Rattus norvegicus: one gene and its partners. The protein of the gene in region 2 interacts with the protein of the main gene of each other region in a pairwise test. Links are inferred from orthologs where the notes say so. Each region holds a gene or a part of one and is shown on either strand. Other genes may lie near its edges.

Region 1 (4,328 bases), on a different chromosome or scaffold from region 2:
TATTGTGAAGGGATTGCTCTTTTGTGTTTCTATCAGGATTATAAACCAATTTCTTCTGTTTATATACGTCATCTAAAAAATCAAAAGCTCAACTGATCTGAAATTAGCATAAGGGCTGACAGGCATTAGTGAAACACAAAAGCCACTGCAAGGCCATTTTTCAATATTGTATACAAGCTGAACTATATTTAGGCCTTACTCTCCCCCCAAATGTGGTTTAGAAAGAATGGCATAAAGTTCTTGGAAGTTGAGCCATTAGAATCGCACAACTTAAGACAGACACCTGCACGGTTCCTAAAATCAAAGTTGGAGGGAGATTATAGACGTGCCCACAGTTAATGATCAATTAATGTTATTAATTCTCAAAATCAAAGCAATTGACAAAGTCCACAGGTAGCTGACGTGTAGGTTGCCAATGAGAAAGGAAGATTGTAGTTCCCAATACCAAACCAGTAAGATTCTCCACCTTCTGTTTCCTTTCTATGCAATCATTAACAAGATTACAAAGTGAAAAAAAAATCTGATTTTCTTAACTAAAAGCACTAAAGACAAAAGGATAAAACTCTTCCGCCTGTACTATTCCTCCATGTGAACCCTGCTCGGCTCCCCTGACACTCCATTTTATCCAACCACTCCTCAGGTATGTCTGTACCACTAGTGTACATCCAGCGACCAAGCAGGCAAACCCTAGCAGAAGGTACACAAAGGCCAAGCCTTCCATGGGCCAGCAGCAGGGAAAACACATCACGCAGGGTCTAGGCACCTGTCTCCTCTAAAAACTCCTCAGTCGCGAGCAGAAACACAGCTAACCAGATTCCCATTGAATAGATGCTTCTGGTCTCCACCAGGCATCCTGCCAATCAACCCTAAAAGTGTCTAAAATTAGATAATAAAGTTTTTCTCTCACATCACTGTTTAGGGTTACAATTGCTGTGAATAAACACCAGGATCCACACACACAGCAACTTGGGGGGGGGGGGGAATCAGGAGAGGATTTATTTGGCTTATACTTCCACATCACAGCTCATCGTTAAAAGAAGTCAGGACAGGAACTCATACAAGACAAGAACTCAAACAAGGCAGGAATCTGGATGCAGGTGCTAAATGCAGAGACCACGAAGAGATGCTAGCTACTGCTTTGCTCCCCATGGCTTGCTCAGCCTTCTACCTTGTTTAATCTCAGGACTTCCAGCCTAGGGGATGGCAACGCCCACAATGGGCTGGGTCTTCCCAAATCAATCATTAAGAAAAGGTTCTACAGGCTTACCTACGGCCTGATTTTACGGAGGCATCGTTGAGGTTCCCACCTCTCTGATGACTCTAGCCTGTGTCAAGTTGGCATAAAATTGCCCGCTTCAATACGGTTTCATTTTTAAAATTAATGAAAATTCCTCCTAAGTTCATTTAAAAATAATAATAGTGCCTCCACTGCTCCCTTCATCCCCTAACAGGCCTTCGGTTTTGACATACTAGGGTAAGCACATCTTTAATAATCAAATCAGTATTTGAAAGGTTATCAATGAAAATACAGAGAGATGACATATATAACTACACAACCCAACTGCAAGAGCAGACGTCTGAGAAGAGACCCATCACTAGGTGGCTTCAGGCGCTACCGAGAGGGGCTGCACACCAATCTTGTGCAATGTTCGTTTGTAAGAAAAGAACAGTAAGCAGTGGAGGTGGAGGGCAGAAGACAAGCATCGTCACCACACACACACACACACACACACACACACACACACACACACACACACACACACACACACACACAGAGAGAGGGGGGGGGGCGTGGGGGAGAGAGAGATCAGGGCTGAGCGACAAGATGACATGAGTTGTGCATTTAAGGCTAACGAGGAGCTTGGGACTCGGTAATGAGCAAAGAGCAGAGCACAAGGCAGATGGCAGGGATCAATTCCTCCCCAGTCCCCAGTCCCCCAGTCCAATAGGCACAATCACAAAACAGGTTTCTGCCTTCATTCAAAGCTTCGGCTGGGGCTTGGCACCTGCTAGGCCTCTGGGTCCCCTACCTCCCACGCCCCGCCCCCGCGTGCTGGGCCTCAGAACCCCGGGGGTAGGGGGGCGGCGGAGCTCGTCCATACCAGGTGTAGTCGTCGTCCTCGCTCCAGGCGGCCAAGCTCTCCAGGTCCAGCGGCTCCACCTCGTCCAGCAGCGTTGGAGGAGGCAACGGTGGCGTGGCGGCTTCCCCCGGCGGGGTCCCCGCGGTCCATGGTTCCGGGCTGCCACCTCCGGCGAAAAAGCCCGCCGCCGGCTTGGAGTAGACGAAGGGCGCGTCGGCCGGCTGCAGGCTGCAGAGCAGGGACGGCGCCGGGCTGGGCAAGCAGTAGGTGCCCGGGAACGCGGGACCCAGCGCCCCCGGGCCCGGAGAGGTCGTGCTGGCCGGGGCCCTGTGCGTGGTGAGCGGGCTGCAGGCCCCGGCTGGCGGCGGTGCGGAGGGCGGCGGCGGCTGCAGCAGCAGCAGGTGCGGGGCGGCGGCCGCACTGGCCGCCCGGCTGCGCAGCTGCTCGTTCTGCTTCTCCAGCTTGCGCACCAGCTCCTGCAGCTTCTTCACCTCCAGCTCGGCGTTCACCACCGGCCCCGGGCCCGCGCCGGAGCCCGCCACCGGGGAGGCGCATTTCACCTGCTCCGCCATCATCGCGGGAGCCCAGAGCGCCGCGGCGAGGTGGTTACGCGGGCCCAGCTCGCGCAGTCTACCAGCATCAGCACCAGGGCCCAGCCTCCGGCCGAGGAAGCGGCAGCCGAGCAGCTCTGCCCTGTGCTCTTGCTCTAGCGGCTCCGGGTTTTAGCCGCGGCCCCGGGACGGGGCGGGCGCGAGGGGCGGAGCCTCCGATGATGGCTGCGTCGAGGGGGCGGGACCTGCAGCGGGGACCCGCCCTGGGCATCCGCCTGCACCCACGCCACCTAACCCCAGGTGCCTGATTGGACCTGGCCTGAACTTCGCGCCGCTCGCACTTCCTCCGCTTAGGGCGAGAGAGCCACACTTCTAGGACCACAGCCAGAGATGAGATCTAAAGAAGTAGCAGGTGTCTGCGGCAGGGAGAGACGTACCCAGGGCCAACGGCCAACCCTCTTACAGGAGCACTTTTAGACTTCATCGTATTTCCACATGCTAATGAAACCTCTTCAAAATAGAAGGTCTGGGGAGCGTGATACTGAGTCCCCCCACAAAAAGCAGATGCTTTGGGTCTGTTTGAAAAGATGCCGCTAAGGGCAGTGTTAGGTAGCACAGAAACAAAATGGTGGGATAGGGGAGGGTGAGGAAGGAAAGTGAGTGATCCCCGTCTCTATGAGGGAGAATGGCCAGCTTCTAAAAGTCAGGCGTTCACTTCACCCTATCTAATAGCCATATATGAACTGTCCCCACCGGTCTTTCACCATTAAACCAGAGTAGGGTTTTCATGCTCTTTGATATTGGACAAAAGATCTTTGAGCATCCCCTGCATGCTCCACTGTGTTCTAAAAGCTGGCTTCTCAACACTCACTGCAAATACAAGCGAACTTGGGCTCCATCTGTTAAATTATTTACACTATTGAAGTCACACATGCCTGAGCAAAAAGAGGAAAGATCTAATATTCCCCGCTTCAAAAGTTGGTTTGTTTGGGGGTGGGTGGTGGTGGGGGATTTCTTGGAAACCCTGCTTTTCATTAATTTTCAACAAAAGTGCTTTTAAGCAGGCGAACTGATCGTTTTTGTTCATTTAATGTTGGCTCAGCATTTTGTGTGTTTAACACAAAGGAAAGCCTGCCGTTATGCTGCGAGAACAATCCACACCGCTGGTTCTCATCCTCAGATGGTATCCTATCTTGTGAAGGGCCTCGCTCAGGCACTGTCCGCATAGCGCCAATGAAAACACAGCGTACATCTCTGTGGCACAGCTAGGATGTCGCCTCTAATCTTTTTTAATTTGATCCTGTGTCTTACTGCTCAGAAACACTTGTGTCTTCTCACTTGGCAAGCTACACCTCTAAACTTGGGTGTATGTGCAAGGTGGGTGTCCTGAATTTAACTTGGCTGGCAAGAGCTTCTGTAAGTTAGTGTGTGGTAACTTCCCTGAAGTTACCTTCCCCCTCAAAGCCCCGCTGGCCATCCGACCTGACCCGGAACCACCTGTATCTCCCACCACCTTTCCAAGTTTCATTCTATCTTTTTGGGTATGTTGGTTATTACTAAAACCTGGAGAAGTGGAGTGCTACTACTGAAACTCCTAAGTGAAGAATCTAGTGAAAGATTTTTCCCCGCATGCTCAGTGGCAGATGCGGGCCGCAGTATCCCTGAAACACAAAGAAAGGGAGAGAACAGACACAAT
Region 2 (4,328 bases):
AGTTCCTGGCAGTGCCGGTGTGAACGGCACAGCCCAGGCAGTTTCCACTGTGGTCACAGAGACACCATCTCCCCTCTTCATTTCTAGCCCCGCTGTCCTTGAACACTCACTCAGCCATGCTGTTTTGCTCTTTCAGCCACCTAAGGACCTCTCCAGACCAGATGGCAGCTGGCTCATCGATTAAGAAACCTCTCTTGGGGTTGGGGATTTAGCTCAGTGGTAGAGCGCTTGCCTAGCAAGAGCAAGGCCCTGGGTTCGGTCCTCAGCTCCGAAAAAAAAAGAAAGAAAGAAAAAAAAAGAACCCTCTCTCACTGATGCTTTGAAGAACATTATTTCTCCCCACAAGGACAGGATCCCAGAGGGCAAGGAAGGTGTGTTAGTCAGTTACTTGACACTGGGACAAATACCCTGGCAGTTTAAAGAGGGGATGACTCGTTTTTGGCTCACAGTTCAGGGCTCTTAGCCCCATCGCCTGTGAGTCTTGGTGAGGCAGAACATCCTGGTGCTAGCTATGGTGAAGCAGAACAGTTCATTTTCACCAGGAAGCGCCAAGAGAACGATCTGCTAACAAGCTTTCTCTTTCTCACCTTTCATCCTATCCAAAACCCTAGGCTGAAATGGTGGCACCCACATTCAGGACCCACCTCTCCTACTTAAGTAAATAAACTCTCTCTGGAAAACACCTACCAAAATGCATCCAGAGTTGTGCTTTCTGGGGGGTTTCTCACCAACCCATAGGACAATCGAGAACAGCACCATCAGGGCCAGCAAGATGGCTGGGCAGGTAAAGGCACCTGCCACCAGCCTGACAGCCCGAGCTCCATCCCAGGGAAAGAACCAGTTTCTCAAAGTTGCCCTCTGACCTCTCTTTCACACATGCGGGGATTAGCCACAAGTGACTCCTTCTCCCCACCTCCTTATGAACACCCGAGTTCAGCACATTTTAAAATTCTATTTGTTGAGAGATGGAATACAGATGTGCTCTCACAGGATTACAGGTTTAGGTCTGCCTTCCTCATCAGACAGATAGTTCCTTGGGGAAAAGATTTTTTTTTACAAAATCCCAGAAACATTAGGAATGATTAGCATTAATTTCTGAAAGTCTGCCCCTCAAGGAAGAAACATGTCCAAAGGAAGGAGAGTTTAAAAAAAAACTAAAACAAACAAACAAACAAACAAACAAACAAAAAACCACATCTTCATCCCAAAGAGACGCTTTCCAAGAGCCTCAAAATTTACACTACTTGAAAACGGCATACTTCACGGGCTAGAGAGGTGGCTCAGCGGTTAAGAGCGCTGGGTGCTCTTCCAGAGGACCCAGGCGCAATTCCTAGCACCCACATGGCAGCTCACACGAATCTGTAATTCTAGTTCCAGGAGATAAGACACCCTCACACAGATATGCGTGTAGGCAAAACACTAATACATTACAATAAATAAATTATAAAATATAAATACTTTTTTTTTTAAATTCCACAAGAAATCGTACTTTAATCAGGTACGCAACACGGCATAAAGAAACAATATTATTTATGCACAAAGCGAGGAGTGAGAAAAACCGTAACATCTGGCCAAGTAGCTGAAAGTTTTATTCCCAACCACATCCGGTAAAACAGAAAAAGTGAGTACAGGTGCGTTAGGCCATACACTGCAGTTAAGATAAACTAGACTCCGCTAAATGAGAGAAGGGTGCGCAGGCACAGTCTCAGGCGAACAGCCACCCAGAAAGCAAGTTCTAAAAGACTCTCTAGTAAGAGAAAATGGCAGGCAGGGAGTGGGAGGAGGGTTGTCACGCAGGCGCAAGACCGCTAGACATGGGAGGGGGAGGGGAAGGGAAGCCGTGCGAGGCGTGCTAGAGGGTCCACAAAAAGGCGCCACTGCCAAAGCTGCCCAGCTGCCATCTTTTTTTCTTTGCAAAAGTACAAAGGCAGAAAATTGCATCTCAACATAAACCCCCCTGCACCGCTCACTCTTTCCCACCAGCCTTTTCCCATTGCAGTCAGAAGCCGCCCACCCAAATCCTTGTCTGGGAACGTGTTCTCAAAGCGGGGGTTACCTGGGAAAGGCGCCTTTCCCACCCCAGCACCAGTCTGGGACTCCAGCTTAGAGCCGGGAGGCTGCAGGCCTGATGCAGGCCAGAGGAACCGTCGGCTGCACGAGGCTGGGCTTACCGTAGTCGGCGAACGGCAGTCGGGGCACGGGCCGCACTGGCAGGTGCTGATCCGGGCAGCAAAGCTCAGGCCTGGGTGCCTGTGGCCTGAGCTGGGGCAGCCACGCGGGAGGACGGTCGTGCAGTCCCCCGGAGCCCCCCGATCCAGGCTGGAAGGTGCTGGGGCCTGGACGGCCACTTGGGACCAGTTGGAAGGCGCTCGGGCCTGGGCTCCGGGCCTGCGGGGACCTCTCTAGGAAGCAGGTGGCCGCGGGGCCTGGCCCAGCACCTCCCAGAGCCGCCCTAGGCAGTGGGCAAATGCTGGAGCTCGAGGCAGTGGCCGTCGCGGCTGCCGGAGCCGGAGCCCTAGGAGGCAGCTGGGGACCCTGCGTGCCCACGGTCGCCCCCTGCTCCTCCGTAGCTTGGTTCTTGAGCACCTTCTGGGCAGCCATGATCTTCTGGCGCTCGGTGATCAGGTAGCACTTATCACAGATGCAATGCTTCCAGCGGCATTTACCCGCATGGCCCTTGACTGGTACCAGATAGCCGTGGTTCCGGCACCTTGAGCACTTGGGGGTACGAAGCATCTTGCCGTTCAGCTCTGCAAGCTCTGCTTCCAAACACAACCACCACTTCCCGAAGCTGCAGAGCGAGTGAAGCAGGAATGAGCTGTGCCCCCATAAATCCCTGGTGCAAGGGACATTGGATACACTTGTAACAAAACAGCTCACTGAGTGTCCCGAGAACTGCAACAGGGCTCTTGCATTTTTCCCACTTTCCAGGTGTGTGTGCTAAATTTACAGTGTTTCTGTGTGTTGGGCCATGGGGTGCGGAGTAAACTCAAAATAGAATACTTATTGCATGTATGTCATATGAGTTATTTGAAAGTTTTTGGCACTTGAATTTTCAAGCTTTCTGTTCCTACCAAATTGTAATTGGAAAATAGGTTTTTGTTTTGTTTTGTTTTTTTGAAAAATGGCGGACGTGTACTCAACGGTCCAGAGGTTTAAAACTCCTGAGGATCAGAGCTGTTAGTAAACCCATACTATTGGAAAGTTCCAGAGAACACAATGTTTCTCCTCCCTGAAGCAGCTGCTTCTGCTTTCATTTCTCTCCTCTGTAGAGAAAAAAAGCAGTCATGCTTCCAGAATATTCTTAGGAGCTTAGTGCCGTGTTGGTTACTTACAGGCATTGCAGAAACCCTGAGTTTTTGAGTTCTGTTTGTGTCAGCACTCTGGTCTGAAAATTTCATGCTTAATAATGTTATAAAGTAAAAGAAACATGATATTCCGGAACTATTTTGAATATTTGGGTTTGGGGTGTGTGTGTCTGTGTGTGTACGCATGCGTGCGTGCACGCGTGCGTGCGAGCGTGTTTATTGTTTCACATAGTCTTTTAATCATCTTTAGGAAGCCAAACAAAACTTACAAGAATTCCTTAGCCACTGTAATACAACACTGATGGAGGGTGCGTACTTCTCTCAGGAACGGGAGCCATAGAAGTAAAACATTTTCAAGAACCTTCCCGAGATATCTGCTCATCCAGTGTGGGGCACGCAGCCCAGCGTGTACAGATCTAGCTTGGGGGAGCTTGTTCCAGGACGGTGTTCATACCCAGAATCTACTGATATTACAAGGAGCCGCGATTTGCTTGTTTTGTGACAAACCATGAGTTCAAGTCTGTTTACTCTTAGAGGAAGGGAACACCCAACTTTGCTGAGTAGTCCTACCCAAAAGAAAAAAAAATTACACACACACACACACACACACACATACACACACTACGCACGCACGCACACACGCATGCACGCACATGCAGACGTGCACATACACACATAAGCAAACACAATTTCCATTTTAAAAAAAATCTAATAACCCACACACAACCTGTCATTTAAATACACACACACACACACACACACACACACACACACACACACACACACACACACACATCTGGGTTAAGGACATGTGCCTCTATCCTGGCTTTTGTTCTCTCTCTCTCTCTCTCTCTCTCTCTCTCTCTCTCTCTCTCTCTCTCTCTCTCCTCTCTCTCTTTTCAAAAGAAATATCTATGGTGTCTTTCAAAGGGTTTCAAAAGGTAAAGACAGGCAGTGCTTTAAATAGTAAGCAGGCCATCTCAGAGGTCAGAGCAGCCCGACTATGTTAAGATCAGAACG
Region 3 (4,192 bases), on a different chromosome or scaffold from region 2:
TGGGTGGGTGGGTGGAGGAATGGTAATGGTAAGTAAAAAACATAGACAGCTCTAGTTTTTTCTTTTTGTAATATTACTAGACTTAGACAATCCTAGGTACAAATTCAAACCTTACCACCGCTAAATTGATTTTTATACATTTTTGAAACTGGGACTCAATAACCCAAGCTGGCCTCCAGCTCCTGGTCCTCCTGCATTCACCTCCTAAGTACTGCGTTACAGGCATGAGTCACCACATCATACTCCCAAACCATTAAACTTTAACAGGCCATTTCCTTAACATTGCTGAGCCTCAGTTTTACTACCTGTAAAGTGGGGGTAAGACCAGGGGCACAAGTTTGTACTTTCATTGCCCTTAACTGCCGTGGAGATGAAAATGGAAAGAAGATGTGTGACTGAACCCGCTACATCACTTAAAAGGGAAAGAAAATAACAACCGCAGCTAGCGTTATTGCAAGAGGAAAGGAGTGAAGCTTTCAGAATTCTGCCCAAGAGCCCTCAGACCTCTGACCCCTTCTCTGCCTTTTCCCAGCTCCCGGATGCAGCAGACACTCGGCAAATATTTGTCAAACTGGGAGAAAAAGAACTGTATCTTGTAATTTTCCATCTCAATCACCACCTCCCTTCCCACTCCCCACAGGGCTGTCCCCAGTCAAACCAGTCCTGCCCCCTTCCCCACCACAGCATAAGAACCTCTGAGGGCACTGGACCCAAGCTTCAAAGTCTGGGGGGGTGGGGCTCAGTTTACCCAGCAAGGAATAAGGAATGGGTCTGTCTGTCTCTGTGTCTCTCTGAATCCTAGCTGTCCTTGGAGAAGTGACACAGCCAAGCAAGTGACCAAGGACGAGGGAGACCCTCTCCTAAGAGGGTGGGGGCTCGTTCAGTTCAAGTTGTGCCTACCCTTCAGTTCAAGTTGTGCCTACCCTCAGGGGAGGGAGGTCTGGCCCTGGCCACAGCCAGAGGGGGACGGGCTGCAGAAGGACGGGGACTGGGGGTGGGGGTGTAAGGGGCCGGCCTAGACGTTGCTCCTGCCCTTTTACGGTCTCAGCGAGTGAGGCGGCACTAACTCGGACATCCGCCATCCGCCTTCCACCGGGCCTGGGACCGGAAACGGGTGGGGGAGGGGCGGGGCTGGGGGCAGCAAGAGAGGAGGGGGGTAGTGGAGGAACTGACCCCCTTTAGGGGGACAGAGCTCCCACGGGGGAGGAAAGGCCAGGCAGGAAGTCTCCAGGGTGTCTCGATGTCCCCCTTCTAGCTCCAGACGCTAACACTCCCACATGCCAAGGGACAAACTTGGGAGGGAGGGAAAGAGGGAGGGGTCCTAGCTCAGGGCCCTAGAGAAGAATGTCACCTAGATGTCAGAGGGCAAGACTGAAGGATGTGCACATGGGGGGTTAAGCCCAAACTGTCCCCAGGAGACTCCTCCTCTAACCAGGGGCTTTGGGGCAGGAAGTCCCAGCCAAAGTGGAGGAAGGGAGATAGTATTGTCAAGATGTGGCCCCAAGGGAGAGATTATGGGGGGGCTGGGGCTGAGAGGAGGGGAGGCCTCTACCAGCCCAGGCCCCACCCTCAGGTGAGCCCAGGAGTTCAGGGCAGGTCCCAGAGAAGACATTAAAAAAAAAAAAAATCTCTGAGTCCCCCTCACCCACAGGATTAAATTCCTGGGAAGAGAGCTGAAAGAAGCGGGTAAGCCTGGGTCCCTGAGGGAGAAGGCTATGACCTTGACGCTTTCCAGCGCCCCCTCCTCCAATCCCACGGCTTGGGGAAGGGGGGTGACACCCGGCGACATTGAGCCCAAGGGGAGGGGCCGTGGTGTGGGGAAAAGCAGCTGGCCACAGTGCTCACTCGGGGGCCCGCCCCCCACACCAGCTGTCTCGACAGGTGAGTCAGGAAGACAAAGGCCCCCCCTCCCCCAGCTGCCGCGCCCCCTCCCTCACAGGCCACCAGGTTAGGGGGTGGGGGTGGAACTAGAACCGTCCTCTGGCCCGGGGGCCAGGAGCCGCCCTGGGCCTGGAGTGCTCCCGGGTCCTAGGACCCACCCAACCTGGGTGCCTAAGGGGAGAAGAGTCCCATCCAGACCCTCTGGGCCCCGTGGGTCAGAGTCTCAAGAACCCCTCCACCAGAGAACCTCCGTGTCCACCAAATTTTGGGACATCAAGAAGTACCCCCAAAGTTAAGGACCGCGGTTCCACTCTGGGACTCTCATCCAGTGCCCCAGACGCAAGGGTCCGAAGACCACAACCCGAGACTCAGAGTTTCAGGGCTCGGGTTCTCAAGCCAGCCTCCCACCTGGTTTTGAGTTTGGGGGCAGTAACTCTGAGCCCACTTATACCAGTTCATCCCTGCGACGTTCTACTTATCTGCGAACTCGGAGGTGCTCCCCCCAAAAGTCTTCAAATTCTGAGTCCCGAGAGCGCCCCTAAACCTGAAAGCCATCAAGAGAACCTCAGCCGGCACCGCCCCAAGCCTTTAGGGAGTAGTGTGGAGAAACGGGGTGTCGATATTTAGAGATCGCTCCAAGAGACATCGGCCCAGATCTGGGACGCTCAAAGCGCTGTGTCCCCTAAATCCAGCCCCGAACGAGCTGGGGGGAGGGGGACAAAGGCGGGGCGCGAAGCCGGGTCCCGGCTGGGACCCGGCTGGAGGGTTCGGGGCTCACCTCATGGCTGCGCAGAGGGCAGGCGGCGCGCCCACGGGGAGTGCTCCCGGGGCGCCCCTGATTGGAAGTGCAGGGGTGCGGGGCTGGCTCCAGGTTCTGCTCAGTCTCTCTCGGGGTCCCGCCCCATAGAGTCCAGCTTCCTGGGGAGAACGTGGACCGGGCCCGGGCGGGTGCTCAGGCGCCTCCTCCCTCCGGTGCTCTGATGTGCTGGGATCCCCTGCGATGGAAAGCGGGGTGCAGCGTCCGAACCTCGCCGGCGCACCCCCTCAGCCGGCAGCACCTACGCGGTTACTCTTACTACTGTACTCTCTTTGCTACATTTCGTTCCAAAATTCCACTCCCCATACCCACAATGCCCTGCGCCTTAAAGGGGCCGTGGACGCCTCCAGGCGGGGGATGGAGACCGTTTAAAAGGCAACGCGGAACCTAGGTCTTCCGCAATTGCACTCCTTCCTCTCAGTCTTGTGGCGTGGGGGTGCACCCTGGGCCTCACTCCCGAGTTGGAGGGGGAAGCTTGTTGGAAGGGAAGGGGCCATTCTTTGATCTCTAGCTGTCTCTACTATGGAATTCTTTAGTAGAGATCTGGGGGTGCCAGTTCTCCATTCCAACTCGCTCGGTGGACTTCTGTTCAGTTTTTATGGAGGGCGGGGGTTCTTCTGGTTAAGCAAAGGATCTCATTAATTTCCACCTTTAAGTAACACTTCCGTACATCCTCTGTTCCCCAGATCTCTCTTCTCAGGTCGGGCCCCACCCCTCGCCGCCCCCCACCCTCCGGGGAAGGTGTGGAGGAAGTGAGCGAGGGGGTGCGACGGGCCGCTGACTCACCGCCGCCGGGTCGCGGCTGGGGTGGGGGCGGGGGTGAAGAAGGTGGAGGATAGACTAGGAGTGAAGGGTTGGAGGTGGGACCCCGATCTGCTTCCCACGCGTGCCCAGCTATGGCTTAGTTTTGCCCACAGAGGATAGTAGGATCGTCCCAAGAATCCCGCAGGCTCAGAGGCTCGAAGACCCTCCCTGGAGCCCCTTCCACGCAAACACGTCGGGGCAGAGTCAGCCCAACCTCCCTCCAAGCCTTCCGCAGTGGGACCCATAGGCCCCGCCCAGAGTTACATCATCATGCGGACACGCCCCTCCCGTAGAGCTCCACCTGGCAGGGTAAAAGGCGTTAACTCTCAGAAAACATCAGTTCCTGACTTACAGATGGAGAAACTAAGGCACAGAGACAGGGAATGGGTTTAGCTTATGATCGTCTTGTTTGGGTCCCCCCCCCCAAACTTACGGAGAATCAATCCACGTGGCCTTTGGCCAGTCTGTTTCCTGGATGGTATGCTGGCTCCCTGTTGGCCTTGCAAAAACCTCATCCTTCAGGCCAAACACTTAATTCTGCACTGAAAAATCTAGTACACTAGTTGTCCTGCCACAAACCCGGAGGCTGAGGCAGGAGGATCTCGAGTTTGAGGCCAGCCTAGGCTACAGGGTGACTTTAATGTCATCTTATATATTTAAGAACACAAATAGAAATGGGTCAGCAGTTAA

Evidence for each region. The genes of interacting proteins can lie anywhere in the genome.
Region 1: the proteins of Dmrtb1 (region 2) and Slain1 interact in a two-hybrid assay, tested with the Homo sapiens proteins (2 studies listed by BioGRID). The link is inferred for Rattus norvegicus from reciprocal best matches to the Homo sapiens genes DMRTB1 and SLAIN1.
Region 3: the proteins of Dmrtb1 (region 2) and Vasp interact in a two-hybrid assay, tested with the Homo sapiens proteins (2 studies listed by BioGRID and IntAct). The two-hybrid records come from large-scale screens. The link is inferred for Rattus norvegicus from reciprocal best matches to the Homo sapiens genes DMRTB1 and VASP.

What each region holds. Positions count from the first base shown.
Region 1 is NC_086033.1:86,895,990-86,900,317, reverse strand, and holds the start of Slain1 (SLAIN motif-containing protein 1), read right to left. Parts: upstream 2,843-4,328; 5' UTR 2,657-2,842; coding exon 2,103-2,656; intron 1-2,102. UniProt on the Homo sapiens protein: Microtubule plus-end tracking protein that might be involved in the regulation of cytoplasmic microtubule dynamics, microtubule organization and microtubule elongation.
Region 2 is NC_086023.1:127,678,448-127,682,775, forward strand, and holds the start of Dmrtb1 (doublesex- and mab-3-related transcription factor B1), read right to left. Parts: upstream 2,805-4,328; 5' UTR 2,737-2,804; coding exon 2,172-2,736; intron 2,150-2,171; exon of another isoform or gene 2,057-2,149; intron 1-2,056.
Region 3 is NC_086019.1:88,050,114-88,054,305, forward strand, and holds the start of Vasp (vasodilator-stimulated phosphoprotein), read right to left. Parts: upstream 2,843-4,192; 5' UTR 2,665-2,842; coding exon 2,660-2,664; intron 2,358-2,659; exon of another isoform or gene 2,341-2,357; coding exon of another isoform or gene 2,333-2,340; intron 1-2,332. UniProt on the Homo sapiens protein: Ena/VASP proteins are actin-associated proteins involved in a range of processes dependent on cytoskeleton remodeling and cell polarity such as axon guidance, lamellipodial and filopodial dynamics, platelet activation and cell migration.